4 linked regions of the Drosophila melanogaster genome follow. The protein of the gene in region 4 interacts with the protein of the main gene of each other region in a pairwise test. Each region holds a gene or a part of one and is shown on either strand. Other genes may lie near its edges. The genes, in order: CG17648, CG32756, Rpt6R and CG15124.

What was found.
Region 1: the proteins of CG15124 (region 4) and CG17648 interact in a two-hybrid assay, tested with the Drosophila melanogaster proteins (one large-scale study listed by BioGRID).
Region 2: the proteins of CG15124 (region 4) and CG32756 interact in a two-hybrid assay, tested with the Drosophila melanogaster proteins (one large-scale study listed by BioGRID).
Region 3: the proteins of CG15124 (region 4) and Rpt6R interact in a two-hybrid assay, tested with the Drosophila melanogaster proteins (one large-scale study listed by BioGRID).

What each region holds. Positions count from the first base shown.
Region 1 is NT_033779.5:1,750,031-1,754,719, reverse strand, and holds CG17648 (uncharacterized protein), read right to left. Parts: upstream 2,413-4,689; 5' UTR 2,338-2,412; coding exon 1,951-2,337; 3' UTR 1,872-1,950; downstream 1-1,871. Other genes in the region: CG17712 (uncharacterized protein), read left to right, coding at 2,695-3,849; CG17646 (uncharacterized protein), read right to left, coding at 4,634-4,689.
Region 2 is NC_004354.4:5,943,046-5,950,235, reverse strand, and holds CG32756 (uncharacterized protein), read right to left. Parts: upstream 4,555-7,190; 5' UTR 4,476-4,554; coding exon 4,317-4,475; intron 4,256-4,316; coding exon 4,070-4,255; intron 4,004-4,069; coding exon 3,865-4,003; intron 3,778-3,864; coding exon 3,543-3,777; intron 3,482-3,542; coding exon 2,821-3,481; 3' UTR 1,988-2,820; coding exon of another isoform or gene 1,924-1,987; 3' UTR 1,883-1,923; downstream 1-1,882. Other genes in the region: CG6041 (uncharacterized protein), read right to left, coding at 121-507, 606-885, 951-1,146, 1,924-1,987; CG12728 (uncharacterized protein), read right to left, coding at 5,849-6,563, 6,625-6,859, 6,943-7,081, 7,148-7,190.
Region 3 is NT_033777.3:30,580,480-30,586,547, forward strand, and holds Rpt6R (regulatory particle triple-A ATPase 6-related), read right to left. Parts: upstream 3,219-6,068; 5' UTR 3,045-3,218; coding exon 2,897-3,044; intron 2,842-2,896; coding exon 1,790-2,841; 3' UTR 1,719-1,789; downstream 1-1,718. Other genes in the region: CG9702 (uncharacterized protein), read left to right, coding at 1-950, 1,009-1,583; CG9717 (uncharacterized protein), read right to left, coding at 4,069-4,404, 4,596-4,741, 4,810-5,112, 5,458-6,068.
Region 4 is NT_033778.4:19,640,075-19,645,356, reverse strand, and holds CG15124 (uncharacterized protein), read right to left. Parts: upstream 2,411-5,282; 5' UTR 2,320-2,410; coding exon 1,744-2,319; 3' UTR 1,659-1,743; downstream 1-1,658.

The sequences.
Region 1 (4,689 bases), on a different chromosome or scaffold from region 4:
CCTTCCCTGCAGTTGGGATGGTGTCCTGCCTTCCAGCTTATCGCAACACGGAAAAAAGTAAACTAATAAAGAGAAGAAGAAGCTCTTGTAAATAATTATTAAATTATCATCCTATATTGTGTCTATACCATGATTTCTATCTAGTACGCATTATTTGCTCTTATACTTTCGGAATTTTCTCCAAGTGTAGTATCATAGCTAAGCAAGAGGACGCTCTGTGACTCCCAACAGCGAAATGGACTTGTCAGTTTTGATGAACTATCTTTGGCTGCCCTGCGCTCGTCCTGTTTCGCCGCTAATGCTAATACCTCTGACAGAGATCTATGTGCGGTCTGATTCATTCGAGTCCCAGTCCCAGTCCCAGTTCCAGTACCAATCCCAACGCAATCCTAGTCCCAGTCTCAGTCGCAGACTCAGTTTCCGCCGGCTTGCAGACCTCAAGATGAGGTCACGTAGAGCTGCGTCGTCGGCCGCTTGTTTGGCTTATTAAATGCTCAGTTGTCCTGCCTCCGAATGCAGGCATTTCGGTCTCGTCCTGCCCCTGCATTTAGTATTAATCTGGCTTAAATGTGATTAATGTCTGGTCTGCGGAAAGGTTACCGCCCCATGCCACATGCCACATGCCCCGCGCCCCAGGAGTCCTGCGGTCTGACAAAGTCTGGATAAACTAAGCCCGGATCAGCAAGTGTAATCAATATTGCCATTAACATTCAGAATTCAATTAGAAGCTGTGTCTGTCCGGCCTTGGAGCATTCCCAAGATGGCTCTGATAAATTTTAATTGGTTTAGAGAAAGCTAGTTTGCGGCTGCTACTTAAAGCCATTAAGCTGTTATGTGGCACAGCATAGTGGATATTTAATTGGAGTTATTCGACAGATCCAATTGGTGTGCGATGTTATTTTACGATTAACAGGTGATGAATAACAACTACCTTTAACACCTGCCCCTTCCGACTCAAGAGCTATCTGAAGAGCTAGTCCACCGCCTTGGGTGGGGGTTTCCCTTTAGGGGTCACCCACTTCCATTGCACCTTTGATGGCGCCATAACTTGTGGCAATATCTGGTGCCCCGAGGTCGAAAGCAGCAGCATTCATTAGCTGTTTGCCGGAGCCGCTGGGTTTGCTTTAAATTTAATTGTTTGCCCGCTGCCGCTGTGCACTTTGTGGTTTAATTAAGACGGGATCGAGCGTATATGGTATATGGCATGTGGTGTACATGGATGTGGGTGGGGCAGACAGACGGCAGCTGCCTTAAACCAAATTACACTAATTGGGTTACCATATGACAGGGCAATGCGTCGACTGTGACATTTGTTTGCCATGGCTTGCCAATGCTTGCATTATGTCCGCCCGTCCACATCCTTCGCCCGCACAAACACAGCCCCCCACACGAATGTGTGGTGTACACTGAGAGAAAAAGCTCACTCAGTACGCAAATTCTTCAGAAGGGCTACCTTCCAAAAGTAAAGCCAAACTGGAGTCTCTAATCCCGTAATATTGATAGTTGTTCGGAAGTCTGAACCCCTAATTGTGCTCAGTGCATCATAAGCCCAGTCGTCAGTAAGTCCTTCACTCCACCGCCGTTTGCACTCGCAGTTGCCAGCTTGTAATAAGCTGCAGAATCATTTTCCGCATGCCGGCTGCTTTGACAGCTGCAATACCGCACATGGCTCAAAGGGTCGAAAAGCGGGCCACATGTGGTGGTATATGGTGGAAAAGGGGGAAAACGGGGCAACGGGCAAAGGATATGGGGAGTTGGAGACCGCACTCGAAATGGAAGCCAAAGGACTCTGGCTTAGTTAATTGAGTGGACAGCAAGGAGGTCTTTAAACTGAGATTGGCACGGATAAGAAGATAAGCATTATAGACTTTGTTGGCCTAATCTCACAGGTTCATTTGATTCTAAGCAGAGAAAAAAGAAAGTATTTTTTAAAAATAGTTTTAGAAACTTCTAGGCTTCGACGGCGGGTTCCATGGACAAGGACCTGCTGCTCACACTCCCGGCGGGGGTCATGATGTCCTCCAGCATTTGGTTGAGCGACTCGGAGCCCAGAGCGTACTCCTGCTTATTGGCACTTCGGTTGTGCATGGCGTCCAAGTAGACGCCACTCGCATTGCGCTCGCTGCTCAGAATGTGCTGCATGACATTGCTGATCTGTTCGGAGCCCAGGATCTTCGGTTGCTCGGTGGCCAGTCCATCGATGACCGCAGTTTCCAGCTGGCTTGAAATTTTGGCCGGCGACTCCTCCTCGTTGGCAGTTTTTAGAAAACGAATCGCCTGTGCAGAGGCCAAGGCTCCGGCCGTAAAAGAGGTCAGCAACTGAGCAATCGAAATCATTTGAAATTTGATATTTTTAAATGATTCGAAAGCGAATTTAGATCATGCTTTGAAAGTTCGTTACGATTGCTATGAATTGAGTTTAAATATTTCAAGGCTACATAAATTAGTAATTAACTCAATAGCCACCACTGATTTGGCTTACAAACTCTTTTGTTTAATATTATTTTTAAAAGCTTTAAATATTTTAAATAGATTTAGCTAGAAAATAGCTGACAGACACATATCGATATATCGCTGCGATAGCCACAGCTGTTCACGCCCGCAGTTTAAGCGATGTGGCAGCCCTGGTCGGCCACCAAAAAATAAACATTGGAATTTTCCCTTAACTTTATAGAGTTTTATCCAATTTGAGCGATGCTGCCGGGCGTTGGAGTGTTCGGAACGGGAGAGATAGCCAATGTGCTGGTGCCGCTGCTGCGGGAGAAAGGATTCGAGGTGCGGGCCATTTGGGGCAGGACCCTGAAAGAGGCGAAAGAGACTGCGACCACGCAGAATGTACAATTCCATACGAACGTAATCGACGATGTCCTGCTGCGGAAGGATGTGGATCTGGTGTTCATCGTGTGCCAGCCCTTTCTGCACGCGGAGATCTCGGTGAAGGCCTTGGGCATCGGGAAGCATGTGGTGTGCGACAAGCCAGCAGGATTGCACCAGCAGGACGCACTCAAAATGGTTCGGGCTTCTCAGTACTATCCCACTCTGATTTCCCTGGTCAATCACCCGCTGAGGTTCCTGCCCGCCTTTACACATATGCGTCGTTGTCTGCAGGAGGAGCTAATTGGCTCTATTGGCGACGTGGTACTCATGGATGTGCGCGTCCAGATGGGAACGCTCTTTCCCGAGAAGTACAACTGGATGTGCGATGCGCAAATGGGCGGCGGTGCCCTGAATCTCGTGGGATCCGTGGTGGACTTGGTCACCTTTCTGCTGCAACAGCAGGCAATAAGAGTGCATGGAGTCCTACGATCCTACACGAAAACCACACCGGCCATCAATGGCATTCGACAAATTACGGCTCCGGATTTCTGCAACTTCCAAATGGAACTGGCCAGTGGAACGCTGGTCACAGTGGCCCTGCACAGTCACACTGTGCCAGCAAAAGCCTTCTCGCAGGAAGTGCTCATCTATGGCAGCAAAGGACACCTGGTGGTCCGCGGCGGCGACCTATTTGTCCTCAAGGAGGGCCAACCCAAAGAGGAAGCTGTTTACGTGGATGTCCAGGATTTGCACTTCGCCACCAACAACTCTTTGCTACCACGACCATATATCAAAGGACTCTGCAAGATGGTGGGCGCTCTGAAGGAAGCCTTCGGCAGCAAGGAGTCCTCCTGGGTTAAGGCTCCAGTTTCCACAGCGGCCACCTTTGAGGACGGCCTCTACGTTCAGGCTGTGGTTGAGGCCATCCGGAAATCGAACGAGACCAGGCAGTGGCAAAGGGTTCAGCTGTCCACCGACAGCCCCCTGAATCACGACCAGATAATTCGATATGCACGCATGTCCACAATGTGAGGGAGTCTGTATTACATAGGTGCAATATATGAATGATTCCACTATATATTTTTTATATAATGTACGTGTTTAGTCTTTAAGCGTTCAAAAGATTCAGGCTTTCCAGCCGGCGTCATCTTCATCAATGTATTTAACTTATTTGTACGGCATCAGCATTTTGCAACTAATAAAATTGATTTGTTAGACATGAGACTTTATATTTATATTAGCTAGAAAACATTTCATGATAGTTAATAGCAAGGAACGAGAAGAAGTCATCAAATGTACCAAACGTTTTATTTTAAAAACAAAATTGTCTACACAAACTAAACGAAATATGTCATATACAAGTAATTCGAACTTAGGGCTAAAACTAAAGCTAATCACTAAAGAGACGAAACAAATTATTGATCACAAAAGTATCTTTGTAGCGGACCTTATAGAAGTAGATGAATATTCAAGACTTGGCATAGCTGGAGTCTTCGCGGAGATCCAGCTCAGTGGATGAAGTATTGTGTTTACAGGGCAAGATGGAAACGGGGTTATAGAGATTGTGTTGCAGTTGATCTTCCTTTTTGGTATATCAGCACTTAAACTGGATTTAAGCTACCCTAAAGCCTTCTTGCGTACAATATTTCAGAGAATATTTAAATAAATACCTAAGCTAACATCGAATCGGTCGATCAATTGTAAAAACACAAAAAGGGTAGTTTCGAATTTGGAACTTAAAACGAGGAGAGATGGAAAGACACCCGACTATGTACAAAAGGATTGCAGCCATGGACCAAACATTGGCCATGGTATCTTATCGCTTGTTGAGCTTGTGCCACAGCGTGATGAGGGTCAGCACATGCATGACTC
Region 2 (7,190 bases), on a different chromosome or scaffold from region 4:
GATACAAAATGCTTTGGTGTCAAAAATAGAATTGTAAGTTAATTTAATAAATTAATTGCAGTTTAAATTAGGTTATAATCTAGTCTTTGACTATTTGGCGGACCTATGCGATGACTAGATTCAGAGTTCCAAGAGGAAGGCCACAAGGAGTGGAAGAATGCCCAGGTAGGACCAACTCGATCCCTGCCGCACTCCTCCATTATGATAGATGGTATAGTTGAGGGAGCTATTCTTTTGAACAATCCAATCGTAATAGTACGACACATTTGTGTAGACACCCGGATAACCAGGTGCTGCGCATCCAGCGCCGTACGAAACGATTCCGGCCAACATTCCGTTGCAGCTCATGGGTCCGCCGGAGTCGCCCTGGCAGGCGTCCACTCCGCCACTCAAATAGCCGGCGCACACCTGGGAAACCGGAATCGAATTGTATGAAATGCGACAGGTTGTATACGACACTATGGGCACCGTCGCGGCCTGCAGAGTATTACTACTAAATGTTCCGTTCTGAAAGTTTATAGAGATTTTATCAGATATATAAGTTTATCAGTAAATACTTGTGGTATAGAATTCCATCTGACAGTGGAAAACATTTGTAGACTCACCTGCTGGAGCAGACCCCATCCGGAGATCAGGCAATCGGTGTTTGTGGCCACAAGTTGGCTGTTCAACGCCAGGGCCGTTACAGTTGGCCAATTCCAGGGTATATATCCATTGATGAACATCAGGGCAATGTCGTTGGTCAACGCGTCCGGATTATAATTCTCGTGCGTAATTAGCTGCTGCAGGTAGTACATCAAAGTGCGATCGGTGGAGCTCGTCAGGTAGGTGCTGCCCATGACCAGGACAAATTCGCCAGCAGTTCGGTACTTCTTCTTGTCGGTGCTGGAAATCGGAATCTATTAGCATATGAAAATTGTGATGAAAGAGGTACTAGGATCAGTACGCACATGTAACAGCAGTGGGCGGCGGTGGCCACCAAACGTTGGGAAATGACCACCCCACCGCATAGGTGACCAGATCCATAGCTCTTCTTGTCGTTGGCGGTGAGGCGAATGGACACCTGGTACGATACCTGTTCTATGGACGCATCATAGCCGCCCACGATCTTCGGCTCTATCTTTCCAGCCGTTTCGCTTGAAAGACCTGAAATAGATATAGCCAAATAGGTATTTAATGTACGATTAAATATCGGTCTGATGGCCATGATAAACATCAATTGACATTGATTAACCTTACTGACTCGTCAACTACCTATAATAAATATGTTTATCTTGGGCGATGAGATAGCCTAGCATTGTTGTCTTAACAAAAAAGTACTTTAAAAGTTTATGGTGAGCGGTTCATAACGCTTCGGCGGTATGGAAAAACAAGACAATCTAATCGAACGTAAAGTGATTGCCACTCCTTTTGAAATTGGATAATTCCGAAAATTAGTCAGTGTCATAGAAAAAAATGTTCTTTTGTTCTACAATAATGGCGATGGAAATATCCAGTAAATCGAAAAAGGTAATTACCATAACCATATACCAATTTGGCATATTTATAATGCTGTTTTGAACATTTTGAAACTTAATTTTTTTTTAAATCCGAAAGCAGTTGAATTTGACCACTTATTGATTGTTTCTTTTACACATTGGAATATGATATGTTTCTTTTATCTTGGGTAATAACCAAACACTTTTGCAAACCATTTATCACAACAAAAAGCAAAACAAAAATGTGAGCAAATTGATAACTTCTGTGTGTGAAGTGTTGGGGTTTACCCAACTTGAATAGTTTTAGGCTTCGATTTTCACATAACTTTTAACGAAACGACCATAATTCGTTTACTGGTTCGTTCTGTTGAGGTAAATACAATCTATACTTTCGTATCACTATTCGGCTGTAATTTGGATTGATTGCGATCAAACTGTGACTCACTTTCGCCGGAGGCCAGTGCTCCTAGAAATAGCGCTATGGCCAGTATGGCCCAGACTTTAGCCATCTCTCTTGAGTAACTTGGCAGTATGGGATTTCGAAATGATACAGGTGACTGACTATCGACCGAATTTCTTGAATAGAGCCACCGCAATGAGCCATCCCGACACATGGCCAGTTGATATTATTTGTGGTTTGCCTTTAGCTTATCTTATCGCCAAATGTGCGTAAATTGAATGTTGCCAAAGCCCCAAAGCTCCACATTGACAACAGCTCGATGGCTCGAATCGGCTGCCATAAAAGTAAACAAATGGCAAATCAAAGCAAAATTCGTTTTTGATTTCAATGGCACCAAAGGGAATGGATTTGGTAACGCCAGAACACCACAGTAACTGGTTGATTGGCTGGGATTAGACAAACTTTAAAGGTTATTTATTCTAATTGTAAATGGGGTGTCTTGTTTTGTTTTATTCAATTTTATTAGTAATTACGCCAAAAAAATATTTAACAAAAAACATTTAGCATAAAATGCATTGATCAGGAGGCTATAACCGTTGGAAAGCCGTGACTAATCGGACGCATTTTAATATCAGTCGATATGTTCCATAGAGATAGGAGTTAGTTGCTGCTTGTATGCAGTAGAATTCAACTTGTTTGTGTACTGAGGGTGTTTTGGTAAGATGTCGTTTTAAAATCTACAACACTATACATTGTTTTGTTTCATTTGATTGCTGTTCGATGGACTTAGGTACGAATACCTAATCAACAAATGGAATCATGTCTTTTATCCTTGTATCACTGAGGATTTGTTTTTATCTCAAAAAAAAAAAAAAAAAAAAACGTATGTACTAAGGCTAAGGTTTTGCTTGTAGCACCATTTAGACTGAGATCGTTTCCAAATTATTTTTTCTCTAGATTATTGATCGCTTCTGCGACGCGACCAGTTGAGTAAATCAGTGCGGCTTTGATCTCTTCCAGCTCAATTTGATGAATTACATCCAAATTCCCCTCGGATATTCCGACTTCGGGTTCTTGAGTGAATGCCGGGGGGTAATCGTAAAAATCATTAATAGAATCCAAAGCGTTCGATGCCTCCCTAGTGACCTCCTCATCATCAGAAGAAGAATTCTCATCATTAAAAGAAGCATCCTCATATTTAGAGGCATCATCATCTTTAGAAGAAGCATCCTCATCTTTAGAAGAAGCATCCTCATATTTAGAAGAAGTATACGCATCTTTAGAAGAAGCATCCTCATCTTCAGAAGAAGCATACTGTTCCTGAGATGCAAGTTCATATACACCATTTCCGACGGTTGGATTAAATTTGGTTAGTTGTCGGCCAGACCATCCTTGGGAAAGCCCCGAAGATGTGGATGACTCTTCGTCATCATCAGTGAGATCATTCTTGGTGTCCATTGGCGCTAGCTCTACTTTTAAGATTACATTTACGTTTGTCTCTTGGGAACTCTGCGAGCTTTTGTACTCGACAAGCGGATTGGAGCGGCGCTGCATTACCTTGCGCTCCATATGATTGGTATTGATTTCAAGAGCCTTGCGCTTCCTGCAATTGCGAAAACATATCTTATTAATCGGTAAATGTGAACACATTGTACCAATCCCACCTAATGCGAGGAGCTTCTTTTGGGCTTGATGCCTTCGAAGAAGCAAAGTAGCCGTTTGACGAAGAATAGGGCGCGACATCCCGTGCCCATGGCGAAGAAAGCGATGTCCAATTAGGCGATGGCTTATCAGCAAAAAAAGTACTCTGCGCCTTCTGGTAGGCAGCGGAACAGTCCAGCAATTGCTTGTGCTCATTCATAAAAGCCTCGAGATCAAAGGGCTGGGTTTCCACGGTCACTAAAGAAGGCATAAGGTTTTGCGATTACTAACTAAGCGAATGGAATGCACAAGAACTTTCGATTTGCAAACTTGTTCTTAACTAACCTCTGCGCAGCTGGCATCCCTCGGTGCGATACTGGTTCAGCTCCTTGTCCTTGGCATGGATAATCCCTAGCAGAAGGGGTATCTGAGCCCGTAGTCCCAAAGCCGTGGACATTGTGTTCAAGAACATTTGGCTATACAACTTTGGGAATAATGGCACTAATTATTATAGTTCTTGGAACTGATTCTGCTAAAGTCAGTTACTGACCTGTGCGGCATCCATGGGTCTCAGGTGCCATTCCCACTTGAGGAAAACTTTGAAATTCGCCATGGCATACTTCAGTTTCAGGACGTTCAATGGGTGCTGGTAATCCTGTTCGACATGCAATGGATCCTTGTTGAGCAGGACCTGGCGCACCAATTCCTCGGGAAACTTCACACGCGCGTTGAGCGTCTGGTCGAAAAAACGTGTTGCACTCACACTATTTCACCACATGAAAATGCGGAAAACTTACTTTCAAACGCTGCTGGTAATCGCGTTTCATCAAAGTCTCGGAGTAAGTCCACTTCTCGCGAGGACGGAAAACGTGAATAGTTAGGGTTTCATCATGCTGCCCCTCAGTGCAGGCGAACAGGTGCTGCAAGCCATTTATATTCACTACTTTCAATAGCATTTTGAAGTTACGTTTAGAAGGATCAGAAATCAAAGGAAAGAAACATCACTGACGCACGCCGTAGAGATGAAAAAGAATCGATAGTACCGTCTAGGTATCGAATTCTTACCAATCTATCGATTGTTCTTTGGCGGTAACGATGGTGATGTATAAAGATTCCCAACAAAAATGGGATGTAACTCTATACCTATTTGAACTAACCATTAGAAGTATAAATCAAATATACTTTATAACAGCATTATATTATATATTATAATGTTATTATATTATTATAATATGAAACAAGTAGTACCTAAACCTTTATGTGTTCACGCCACATCAACAGAGTCTGAGCGTAGGCTGGACGTATAATAGGTAACCGCAGGGCTTTCCTTAAAACGATCAATGCTGAAATACTTTTTCTGCAGGGAAATGCATGGATAGAATGCCTGTGCGTATTTCAATTAACTAATCCACGCGGTTGTATTTATAGACATGTATTTATATTATATTATATATTATAAGATCCTAAATGTGTAGATCAGTTATAGTTGTGACCCACCGATGGGAACAACACATTATTGTGGGAATTCAGGGTTCAGGAAAGCATTACTCAGGATCCAAAACTAGCCTCGTCTAGCTGTCTTTCATCCTTCTGTTGTAATCCTAGATCAGCCTGAAAAGGCTGAAAGCTTCTAAAGCAAATGGGATAAGGCAAACTTTAAAGATTATTTATTCAAACTGCAAACGTTTCTTTTTTTATCAATTTTATTAGTAATCGTGCCAAAAAATATTTAACATAAAATGCATTGATCAGGAGGTTATAACCGCTGGAAAGCCCTGACTAATCGGTCGATAATTGACCAGAAAATTTCCGGGCAATCATTTTGACAAATTTTAATATTATTCGATATGTTCCATAGAGATAGGAGTTAGTTGCTGCTTCTATGCAATGGAACTCAACTTGTTTGTGTACTGAGGGTGTTTTGGTAAGACGTTTTAAAATCTACAACACTATACATTGTTTTGTTTCATTTGATTGCTGTTCGATGGACTTAGGTACGAATACCTAATCAACAAATGGAATCATGTCTTTATCCTTTTATCACTGAGGATTTGTGTTTGTCAACTTGTTTGTGTACGTGTACTGAGGGTGTTTGATAAGACGTCTTTTTAATATCTACAACACTATACAGTTCTTTGTTTCATTTGATTGCTGTTCGATGGACTTAGGTACGAATACCTAATCAACAAATGGAATCATGTATTTTATCCTTTTATCACTAAGGACTTGTTTTTATCTAAAAAAAAAAAAAAAAAACAAAAAAAAAAAACGTATGTACTAAGTGTGAAGTTTTGCTTGTAGCACCATTTAGAATGAGATCGTTTCCAAATTATTTTTGCGCTAACTTATTGATATAGCTCTGGATCGCTTTTTCGATGCGTTCAGTTGAGTAAATCAGTACGGCTTTGATATCTTCCAGCACAGTTCGAAGAATTAAATCCCAATTCTGATCGGACTTTCCGACTTTGGGTTCTTGGATGAGTTCCCTTGGGGCATCGTAAAACTCTTTTAAAGATTCAACCTTCTTTATGACGAAATTGAAAGCGTTCGATGCCTCCCTAGTGACCTCTTCATATTCAGAAGAAGCATCCTCATCTTTAGAAGAAGTATCCTCATCTTTAGACGGAGCATCCTCATCTTTAGAAGAAGTATTCTCATCTTTGGAAGAAGCATCCTCATCTTTAGAAGAAGCATCCTCATATTTAGAAGAAGTATCCCCATTTTTAGAAGAAGCATCCTCATCTTCAGAAGAAGCATACTGTTCCTGAGATGCAAGTTCATATACACCACTTCCGACGGTTGGATTAAATTTGGTTAGTTTGGCCGACCATCCTTGGGAAAGCCCCGAAGATGTGGATGACTCTTCGTCATCATCAGTGAGATCATTCTTGGTGTCCATTGGCGCTAGCTCTACTTTTAAGATTAAATTTACGTTTGTCTCTTGGGAACTCTGCGAGCTTTTGTACTCGACAAGCGGATTGGAGCGGCGCTGCATTACCTTGCGCTCCATATGATTGGTATTGATTTCAAGAGCCTTGCGCTTCCTGCAATTGCGAAAACATATCTTATTAATCGGTAAATGTGAACACATTGTACCAATCCCACCTAATGCGAGGAGCTTCTTTTGGGCTTGATGCCTTCGAAGAAGCAAAGTAGCCGTTTGACGAAGAATAGGGCGCGACATCCCGTGCCCATGGCGAAGAAAGCGATGTCCAATTAGGCGATGGCTTATCAGCAAAAAAAGTACTCTGCGCCTTCTGGTAGGCAGCGGAACAGTCCAGCAATTGCTTGTGCTTATTCATAAAAGCCTCGAGATCAAAGGGCTTGGTTTCCACAGTCACTAAAGAAGGCATAAGGTTTTGCGATTACTAAGCGAATGGAATGGACAAAAACTTTCGATTTGCAAACTTGCTCTTAACTAACCTTTGCGCAGCTGGCATCCCTCGGTGCGATACTGGTTCAGCTCCTTGTCCTTGGCATGGATAATCCCTAGCAGAAGGGGTATCTGAACCCGTAGTCCCAAAGCCGTGGACATTGTGTTCAAGAACATTTGGCTATACAACTTTGGGAATAATGGCACCAATTATTATAGTTCTTGGAACTGATTCTGCTAAAGTCAGTTACTGACCTGTGCGGCATCCATGGGTCTCAGGTGCCATTCCCACTTGAGG
Region 3 (6,068 bases), on a different chromosome or scaffold from region 4:
GCTGACCTTTCTGACCGGCATTATAGAGATTCTGATGGCCATCTTCAAGCTTGGATGTTTGGTGGAGTTCGTTTCTGGACCGGTGAGCGCAGGATTTACGAGTGCCGTTGCCTTGATTGTGTCGACGTCCCAGATGCGTTCGATGCTGGGTGTCAAAAGTGATGGTGGATCCTTTTTGGCAACGTGGATAAGCATGTTCCGGGATATCGAAAACGTGCGCGTAGCCGACACCTGTTTGGGCTTTGGATGTGTTATCCTGCTTCTGGCCATGAGGAGTCTCGGAAAGTTCACCATCGGTCCAAAGGACGAATCGAGAAGGAACGGGTTCCAGCGAGTAGTGAACACGGTGATCAAGTTTCTGTCCACCTCGAGGAATGCCTCAGTGGTTATTCTGTTTACCGCTGTTACCATGTACCTGGATGCCAATGGAACGAATCCTTTCAGACTAACTGGAAATATTCCCAAGGGAATGCCCACGCCCTCACTTCCTCCGTTTTCCATCGAACCGCAGCCCGGCAACGAAACAGCTGGGATCCCTGCTGTTGAGGGACAGACTTTTCCTGAAATGGTGCAGAGCTTGGGATATGGACTAGTTATCGTTCCCCTAATGGCCCTACTGGAAACCATGTCGGTTTGCAAGGCCTTCGCCAAGGGTAAACAGATAGATATCACCCAGGAAATGATTGCCTGTGGAGTCGGCAACATTGCTACCTCCTTGTTCTCAGGATATCGATGCAATGGAGGATTGGCCCGATCGGCGGTGAATAATGCCAGTGGCTGTCGCACCAATATGTCCAACCTGTACATCGGTGTTATCGTAGTGCTCGCCCTGAACTTTCTCACCGAATACATCGCCTTCATTCCCAAGGCGGTGCTGGCAGCGATTATTATATCGGCAGTGATCTTCCAGGTTCAGTACCAGGTCGTAACGCCCATGTGGCGCAGCAAACGTGAGTTGAGACTTCCTTGATTAGTATTTATATTCCTAAGTTACCTTCAACGTTGCAGGTTCCGATCTAGTGCCTGGCATCCTGGCCTTCGTCACCTGTTTGGTACTGCCCCTGGAAATTGGAATTATGGTGGCCATTGGTGTGAATCTTCTCTTTATCCTGTACTATGCAGCCAGGCCAAAGGTCACGCTGGAGCAACTGGAAACCCAACAAGGTATCAGATTCGTGAAGATCACCCCCGACAGATGTCTGATCTTTCCTTCGGTGGAGTTTGTTCGAAATATGGTACTGAAGTTGGGCAGCAAATCCACATTGCCAGTGGTCATCGATTGCACCTATATCTATGCTGCGGATTTCACAGCCGCCAAAGTAATATCCTCCATTGTGGACGACTTCCGCCGGCGTCAGCAAAAGATCATATTCTTCAACTTGAAGCCCAGTGTAGTGAGTGTCTTCGAGGGATTGAACACGAGGCTGGTGCTTTGCTACAACACCCATGCCCTCAACCAGGAACTCCGGCCCGACGAGCCGGATCTTTCGAGGTCCGTGGACTCACTCGACCACGCCGAGTCCGGAAACGGAACTAGTGAATGCGTGAGCATGGCCAGCACTCTTTCACTAGCTAGAAGTTAGTCTTACAACGCCCAAATAAAATTAGCTAAGTTATATCTATACCATTACGAACATTAATCTAGTAGTTTCACTTGAGTAAAGTCTTTGTTTTTACACTCCTGTCCTTTTCTATCAAGAATATACTACAAAACTTGTATTATTTATATCAACTATTATATTCAGTCTGATAATGGAGCTTTCAAATGTTTTAAAATTAGTTATATAAGCTATTTCCAGAACTTTCTGATGGACATGTTCTTCTCGGAGTCCTTCATCATTACCTTGGAGACGGCCATTTCAAAGTCCTCCTGGGTGACATGGACCCGTCTTTCCCTCAGAGCATACATTCCCGCCTCGGTGCAAACACCCTTGACTTCAGCACCAGAAGCCCCCGGCATTTCTTCAGCAATCTTGCGAAGATTGATGCCTCTGGTGAGGTTCATCTTGCGAGAATGTATCTTCAGGATATCCAATCTGGCCTCTTCGTTTGGTGGCGGAAACTCGATCTTGCGGTCAATTCGACCAGGACGCAGTAATGCCTGATCCAAGACATCGATGCGATTGGTGGCCATGATCACCTTAATGTTTTTAGTAGCCTCGAAGCCGTCCAGTTGGTTCAGAAGCTCCAGCATGGTTCGCTGGACCTCCGAATCCCCCGTTCCGGTTTCCAGTCGAGCGGAACCAATCGAGTCGATCTCGTCCATGAATATTATGGATGGAGCGTGTTCCCTAGCCATCACAAAAAGCTCCCTTACCATTCTCGAACCCTCGCCGATGAATTTCTGAACCAGTTCCGACCCTGAAACCCGTATAAAAGTGCACTCCGTGTGATGGGCTACAGCTCGGGCTAACAGGGTTTTCCCAGTTCCAGGCGGTCCGTAGAGGAGCACTCCCTTTGGCTGGGTAATGCCCAAGGCGTCAAATAATTCCGGATGCTTTACAGGCAGCTCAATCACCTCCTTGATCTCCTGGATCTGCTTGTCCAAGCCACCCACCATTTCGTAGGTGGAGTCGGGCACCTTTTCCACCAACATAAGGGATACTAATGGGTCCACCTTATTGGGCAGAATTTTGTGAAGCGTGTAGCTCTCGTTTCGCAGGGCCACCCTGCTGCTGGGTGTCACATCCTTAATATTGATGGTCTTGTCCACATCCACTACATACTTGCCCTCGGGATGAACCTTCACAAGGACCTTATTCTTGTCCATGGGCTTCACAACCTCCGCAATATAGCTCCCCTGCTCCTGGAGCAACTGCAGCTCCTCGCGCAGCAAGCGAACTGTGGATAAGGCAGGATAATCTTATAAAGGATATATTCATTCTAAGAACCTTACCCTTGAGGTTGAGTTCATTTCTCTGAGCCTGCAAACGGAGCAAGTTCTTTTGGCGTTCGTTCACAGTGAACTGAAGCTCTGATATTTTCTGCGTATAATATGAATGAAAGCCTTCGGAACCCTCTGGGATTCCTACGTCTTTGCTCATCTGGTAAAATTAATATTTCTTCTGGAAAAAAAAATCACTTCAAAAAAGGCTAGCTAGTAATTTATTACGTTGAACTGCAAATTGTTATTTCTTTCCTTGTATAGCGCTCAACAACTTCCCGAGCTATTGATATAATTTTGCTTATTTTTTTGAACGAACTGAATCCGGCTGATGAGACGACAGTTTTTACGCAGTGCTGGGAAATTTTGACAAGTTAGGGATGGAAACTTCATTTCACACTTTAACTTAAGGGTTCTTGAACAGACTAAAAATTTTAAGATAAGTCGTATTATTGCCACACGTTTCGTAAATATTATTTTATTATAGGTGTCAAACATATTCATTCAATCTTATCTCGAGTAATGCTTTCTTGTTATTGATGCCTTCGAACCAAAAAATTTACTTCCCACACGAAGCACCAAATAAAATCACAGCATAGTTTGAGATTAAAGACACCCAGAAATCATGATGTTGTTTAGATATAAAGTCTATCAATCTTGGAATAAATCTTTAATAAAGCCAGTAGTTGGTAACAACGTATAATACCTAATGAGAGTGTTTTATTTCCACTTTCTTGGCCAATCAAGTAAAACTCTTAACGCCACTTAACTATTTTATATTTACTTGATTTATTTAAGTACTTATGCTAAAACTCGCCGTTCGCTACCCGAAAATAATACTATGTTCAGCGGCAAAATCGCGGGTGGGAGGAGCCCTGACTCTGGAATTCACAGCGTTTCGCCGTTAGAGGCCAAATAAATAATATTGTGCAGATATCTGCGAAGATTGCCACATCTTAAATGCTAATTAAGGTGAGCTGGGCTAGCCGTGGAATGGTAATGGTACCTTCAACTAAGGCGATGAGCGTGGGCAGCCCACATCTAGATTTAGTCGCTGGCCTCGGTGGCAAGACTAAGCTAGTACTAGGTCTAGGACAGAGACTAAGCTACGAACTAGACTTGGGCTAAGACTATCGCATAACGAGGTTGCAGCGTTGTTCCCCCTTCGGACTTCTTTGGATCCCTCAGATCGGGGGCGACTTCTCCGCCAGCTTGGCGTGCAGGGTGTTAATATCGTATATGACCACCAGATCCTTGTTCAGACCCTCGAAGACCTGCGCCACTCGCGGCTGCAGGTTGTAGAAGAACAGCGGCTGCTCCCGCAGCTTAAAGTCCATCACCATGGTGGATATCACCTTGGCGGCCGTGAAGTCCGCTCCATAGATGTGGGTGCAATCGATGACCACCGGCAGTGTGGACTTCTGACCCTGCTTGTTGATCACCTTGCGCACAAACTCCATCGAGGGGAAGATCAGACAGCGATCGGGAGTTAGCATTAGGTATTTCAGACCAGTAGTTGTCTATAAAGATAGGTCGGCTTATTAATATCATAGGAATCATCTATGGCATATCAACTAGCAGTATATTAATTCCTACAGTAAGATGAACATGAGATAAAAATGCCATCCGAATCTTAAGAATCTGTAGCATACTTTCAGCCACTGAAGCTATTCTAGGTATAGATTGAGATACTTCGGATGGAATGACTCACCGCCAGCGTTTCGATGCGCAACTTTGGCCGGGCTGCCTGGTAGAGGATGAAGACCACATTGATGCCGATGCCCACGAGGATGCCCAGTTGCAGGGGCAGAACCAGACAGGCGAAAAAGGCACCCAGGCCGGGAATGAGATCGGTTTCTGTGGCAGGAGAAATACACACGTATGGTAACAAACATGTGAGTGTGGTTTATTTATTTTCAACTCACTTTTACTGTGCCACATGGGCTTGATCACTCGGTACTGGACCATGAAAATAACCGCCGCAATAATAATGGAGGCCAGAGCCGCCTTAGGAATGTAGTAAAAGCAGGGCGTGAGGTACAACAGGGCAATAATCACTATCACGCTGGTGTAGAGATTGGACAGCTGGGTCCTCACTCCACTGGCATTTAAGATGGCTCCCCTGGCGATGCCGCCATTGCTCCGAAGACCCTGGACAAAGGAGTTGGCCACGTTGCACACTCCAGAGGCTATCAGCTCCTGCGTGGCATCTGTGGGTTTGCCATCAGCTAAAAGGAAAAAACCAAACGGGGAAAATATTACAATCCAGTCAAATGAAATTCGAAAGCAAAACAATATGTTCTTCCCCAAGGAATAAAGCGACTGACCTATTTTAATATTTGCACGTGTCATTCAAAAGTTGACACTAATTTGGGACAACAAGGGTTATAAGGGTATAAGGGTTATAAACAAAAACTCGTTGCTTTCGTCAATCCGATTTAAAATTAGCTTTAAATATAAACCAATTACTGATGATTCATATCCTACTTGAATTTTGAAGATTCTTGAACTCGTTGGGGAAGAACGAGATCCAACTCATGAAAATGACGATATCAAATAAGCGGACAACTCACCGAAAGCCTGAACAACGGCCATAGTTTCCAGAAGAGCAATCAATGGAACCACAATGAGCCCAGATCCCAGGGTGCTGACCATGTCCCAGAAGCTCTGGGCCTCCTGAAGGACTTCTCCTGTGGTTTCGTTGACAACGGCATCCATGTGGAAGGGTGGTGGCTGAAAGGAGGGCAATCCCTTGGGCACAAAGCCAACTGTCTTCACGAGATTCTCCTTGCCGTTGACAAACAACCAGTAACCCAGGCCAGCAGTTCCACAGACCAGCAGGGCATTGCGGGCAGTTCCGATGGTCCAGAAAATGCCGGTCAGAAGCTTTTGCGCTGTGGTTTTTCCCTCCTTGGGACCCAGGGTACAACTGGCCAGGGCTCTCAGGCTCAGGAGCAGAGTAATGCAGACGATTCCCAAGATGAAGTCCGGCCAGCTGATGTTGTGTATATCGTTCACAATGCTAATCCACACTTGCAGGAAGGTGTTGCCACTTGTTTTGATGCCCAAGAAGTCCTTCATCTGGGAGCTGAAGATGATCAAGGACACGGCACTCGTGAATCCCGCTCCCACGGGACCAGAAACGAAATCGATGAGAAATCCCAGCCGGAAAACTCCCATCAGG
Region 4 (5,282 bases):
ACTAAATCATATTGCTAAGGATAATAGTGTGCTAAAATGTGAACCACTTTGGTGTTTAACGCTAATCAGGGTGAGTAAAATAATAATATAGTCAATATGTAACTTAAATTCAAGCGGTGCCTTTACCACCTAGCAAATTATACTAAGACTGGAATCATTCTCAATTAAGGTGTTTTTTTTAATTGAAATTCGTTTGCTAAATATAATTCATTGTTATCCAATCTCATACATAGATTTTCCGGACACGACGGCAACTTATGCAATTGACAAAAGCCCATCCTGGGCAACTTTGTGCCGGAATCTTTTTGGCAAAGTTGGCTCACACTAATTACCAACATTAGGCCACCTGCACAGACTAGGCACACTCAATTAGCAACTGTAAACTGCAATTTCTATGCTGGCCAAGTGAGTTTTGGCCAGAAACAGCAGCAACAGCAGCCGGTTAGTCCAAGTCTTTGGCAACTTTGTCGTTTTCGTTGTTCGCTGCATTATTTATGCCACCTCCTTGACCTTTCGCCTTGATGTCGCTGCCTGTTCGAGGAGCATAAACTACGCCGGGCCGTTAAATGCGATGGTTTGTCAAATTAAAGCGGTGCCAAGTAAGCTAGAGTAGCTGGGAGAGCTGGTAAAGCGGATGTGGAACCTCCACGAAAACGCACACAATGCAACAACTTTTCCAACCGGAAGTGAAGCAGACGCCCAGCAACTGAGGCAGCGAAAGTGAGCGCGGAATTGGATGTTCGGCTATAACGGATGCGGGGCGCCATCTTGCTGTTGTTCGCAAACATGGCGGCAAAAGCCCAGAGCCAAAAAGCCAATCCCCCCTTCTGACCAACGCACTGCCATCTATGTAGCTTTTGTGACGCAACAATTGCATTTTATTTATTGCATAACTAGCGGTGTTTATGCGTCGGAGAGTGGATAGCAACAAGACGGAAAAAGAATGGGAAACAAGTAAGAGTGGCCAGGACCTGAAATAGAACCATTCTGCCTCTCGTAAAAGCGAATCCCCTTGCATACATACATACATACCCGCAGTTCAGCATAATAATTACAATCGCTATCAGCGCCGACATTTCACGATGAAAAACTGCATTGGCACGCAACCTGTTGTTGGCTTCCTGCTCCGGTTCCCAGCTAACTGAACACTCAGAGAAAATATTAGTAACTTGCCAGCAAATGGTATTAAAAATACTACCTGAACGGGACACGTAACTCAAGACTATTCTATATAGAGTTTAAAACTCTTGGGACATTTTTTTGAGATCTTTTTGAAACCTTTAAAATTTTTTTTGCTGTGCAGCTACAGATTCAACTCCCCAGGTCCAGCTAAGCGCTGGCTAAGAGAGGAGATGCCTGAGCACACTGTCCAGGACCAGGTCCCTCCTTTAACAGGTCCTAACTATGCAAAGCCATGAAACGCAAGTGTCGCAGGGATTATTCATGGACGGGGAATGAAGATGAAGCGGCCAGCGGGCTGTCAGTGACAGGTAAACGGAGAAAAGGGAAACGGAAGGACACGAAGCAGGAAAAGTCGAGGGGGAAAAAAGATTCCTAGGGATAGGATTTAAGAGAGGAGCACATTACTTAAGGCTAATTTCATTGCTGGAAATTCAACTATTCAATCTCGGAGAGGTGTAATAAAACATTTTGTATTTGCTTTCGCGATAAATATTTATTTTCCAGAATAGTGCGATAATAATTGCATATGAGTGAAACATGTAAAGTTTAAAACAGTCCAAATTAAAAAGTCTTTTTGACGCCTTGGCCGGAACAATGGATGTTGCTTGTCTTATTCTGCCTCTGAGTCTTATGCCAATCCATGATAAAGTCTTTGTTGATCTGGGCGACCCTCTCCAAATAGGCGACACTGCCCATGTCGCTGTCCAAAGCCAGGATTTCGCAATAAAGCGAGCTCAGCTTTATATTGCAACGTTCTACGGCGTCAGACAATTCGACTTCTCTGATTTCCGTCTCGTCTAGGAAATGCAATTTAACTTTCTCCTGATTGGTCACAAAACGAGTCCCTGCACCGGGCTTTTTGATCTCCGAATGCAAATCCAGCAGATACTTCTTAAGCTCTTGCAACGCTGCCATTTTCAGAAGAAGTCTGTCCTTTATGACTTTAAGTGCCTTGCGACATTGCTCTGCAGACACTTCCTGGCGTTTGATTAATTCAGCAATAGAGACATTGGAGTTTTTAGGTTCGGACATGAAAACCTTTATACTGTAAATGGGACGGATATTGTGCAGAGTTATGTTCGGTAAGTCCTTGCAGCTGATTAAGTCTGTAAAGTCGAGCATATTGTCGTTATCCATTCTAATTGATATCAAATTTTAACTTATTTTTCTAGCGGTTTATTTTAATAATTTAAATTTATACGAAGTTTCTCAGAAAGCAATATATGCAATGACTACTTTCCAAAAAAATGCTTTGCTATGTGATCGTTTAATTTCCCTTGTTAATTTCGTATATATAACCAATTTTAAGTTTCCTTTTTTCATGTTTCGTCATCAGCAAACGATGAATTTCTATGGATTCACTTTTAAACTTTTTATCCATCGCAATTTTATTTCATTTTTATTTGCGCTTTTTGCGATTTTTATATGCACTAAAAGTCAATTTATTCACTTGACTTAATTTGATTTCAACCTTCAAATAATCCAATAGAGTTTTTGTGCAGTCGTCCTTCACGGTTGCACCTTGAAAAAGGAGTTATTTCTGTTTTGCTGAAAGGATTGTTTACTTAAATGATTGTCAATTTATAAAAAAGTAGGGATCATGATAAAATAAATAATTCGACAACGATTGTTTAAATGTATATTATCTCATACATGTTTTGATTGCATTCTGTGAACAAAAAATTGTTCCGAAAAGCTAAATTAAATTACCTGTTCATCCTTGTATAATATTACTCATACGCAGTGGATGCCCGGGCCATTGATTTAAATTCAAGAAACTCACGAGCAACAGAAGTTCGAGAGAAGCTGCCGCAATCTCAACTGCCTCATTGTTAACCCGCACTCAATTTCGATTCCCAATATGCTCCACATAACCGAGAGTAGGGCTCGATTCTCTATGCCGGTAATCGTACGTGTGGAAAAGACGTCAGCACTGATTGCTGCATAAATGATTGAGCATGTGTGGTTGTGTGCGCCTGTCTTTCAATCCACATCGATGTGTGCGCTTGTGTAGGGCTGGAATGACTTGCCACAGACGAATCCCACTCACTATCAGCATTCCTCCATGCAACAGGACCTGCATCCCAGCGAAAAGGATGGGGTTGCATTATATGAAAATTGATGGGAAATGCCAAAATATTTAAATCTAATTTTGTGCCAGGCTGACAGGCAGCCAGCATTCGCCGAAGCCGCAGGCATTGCATTTGATTTTGATTCCCGTCCAGTTTTGCCAGCGTATTTGGCGACTTTTGCCCTGGCGAGCATTTAAATATTCAATACGATTATATTTTTAAACACGTAGCCTGGGGAAAAAAAGCCCTGACTGAACGACGGTGAAGAGTCAAATGGAAAAGGAAACTTTATTCAAAAGAAAAAATAAGAGAATATTCCTTGATGAAATAGGATTTTTTCTTTTGGAGTCGATTTTCATTTAACCCGATCAGATTTATTTTCATTTTAAATTGCAGTGAATATAGTTCTTTATGGTGCTAAAGATAATTTTTTATGCACGCTCAAAGTCCTTTAAGAAAAATGTTAATCCCAAGCAAATGAAAAATGAAATGACTTCAAAATTACTTGTCATTTTTGTTACATCAATGAGTGTGGCGAGTAAACAAAACTAAGCAATTTATATTATGAGTGTTAATAAAATATTTATAATATTTTATAAAATCTATGGTTATATTTTAAATAATATGTATCATATATATAAAAGGAAGCCTTAAGCTTTCCAGCCATATTAGTGGGAAACGTGTCCACCATTCACGGTCAACCATTTCCTTACGTTTGCTTCCTGACGCGCTTGAACAGAACTTAAAATAGAATTTAAATACCGGCAAATTGTCTGCCTTGGCACCTGTCTGCCCATTCTGCCCAGGACACCCATTGTCATCCCAAGACCCCCGCCCAACACCATTTTTCGGCCATCCAGCCAGCCAACCGTCCAACGATCCAGCGTCATTCGCATTTGCTATTTCCGTTTTGCACGGCCGTGTTGCTGTGTTGGCATTTCATTTAGCGCACAACTTCACATTTGCCTCAGTCGTTGTCTTTCTGCTGCCTTTTCCCATCGCTTGCAATTGCCATTTCCGCTTCCTGAAATTTGCCATTCGTTACACACAGAAGGACACGCCGACACACATACACAGACAGGCACACATACACACACGTGCGAAAAGGGAAGCACTGAAACCGAAACTTAAACAGAAACAGAAGCAGAAAGCCGCTCCCCGCATGCACCGACATTTTCATTTCCATGCTTGGGCGCATCGCAGCGAATCAATTATTCATCATCATCGATTAAGTGGGGGGAGCTATCTGGCCCCCAAACAGCCCGTCGCCCATCCGCCAGCCGCCAACCGCCTCTGTCCTTCCGTCCCGTCACACTTTTATTGTTATGATTTCTGCCGTCTGTAATGGGCACACTTAAAGGACTCCAGCGACCAGGAGGAGCAACAGAGAGCAGAAAAGCGCCAGGATAAAGACAATGGACGGGCTCTCACGTTCGCTGGCTGCTCCATTTCGCGTGAATTTTACCCTCATTTCGCCGGCTTTTCATACGCTGTAATCGGCAGGCAAAAGGAGTATCTAACATTTTGGTTATGCCGATTTCCGGAAATAATATTTCAATTATTTTGTAAATCATTATGGCATTTCACTTATTTTCCTAACTAATTTTTGTAGTTTATAAAACACAAATCGACAAAATTTAAAAAAAATGATCAACTTTTAAGCAATTCTTGTAAGCCAATAAATCACAAGGTAAGCAAAAAAGTCGATACCACTCATCCACCTTCCCTCTTCGTTTTATTTGTGTTGTAATTTTAATGAGAATCACTGGGCCTTGGGCCGAAACTAAAAGCTGAGATTGCCGAACACACACTCGGGGAAATGCCCACATATGTTATGCTGACATATCAATACGGTGGGTTGGTGGGTGAAGTGCCTGTATGAGAGGGGCACATATATATCTACACAAACAAAACAATACATCGAGAACGGAGATGGTGCGGAAAATGGTAGTGGGAATGGGTAGAAGCAGACGGACGGCCATTTCCCTGCCCTCTCATCATGCCGATGTGTCTTGCTCCTTGCGCTTA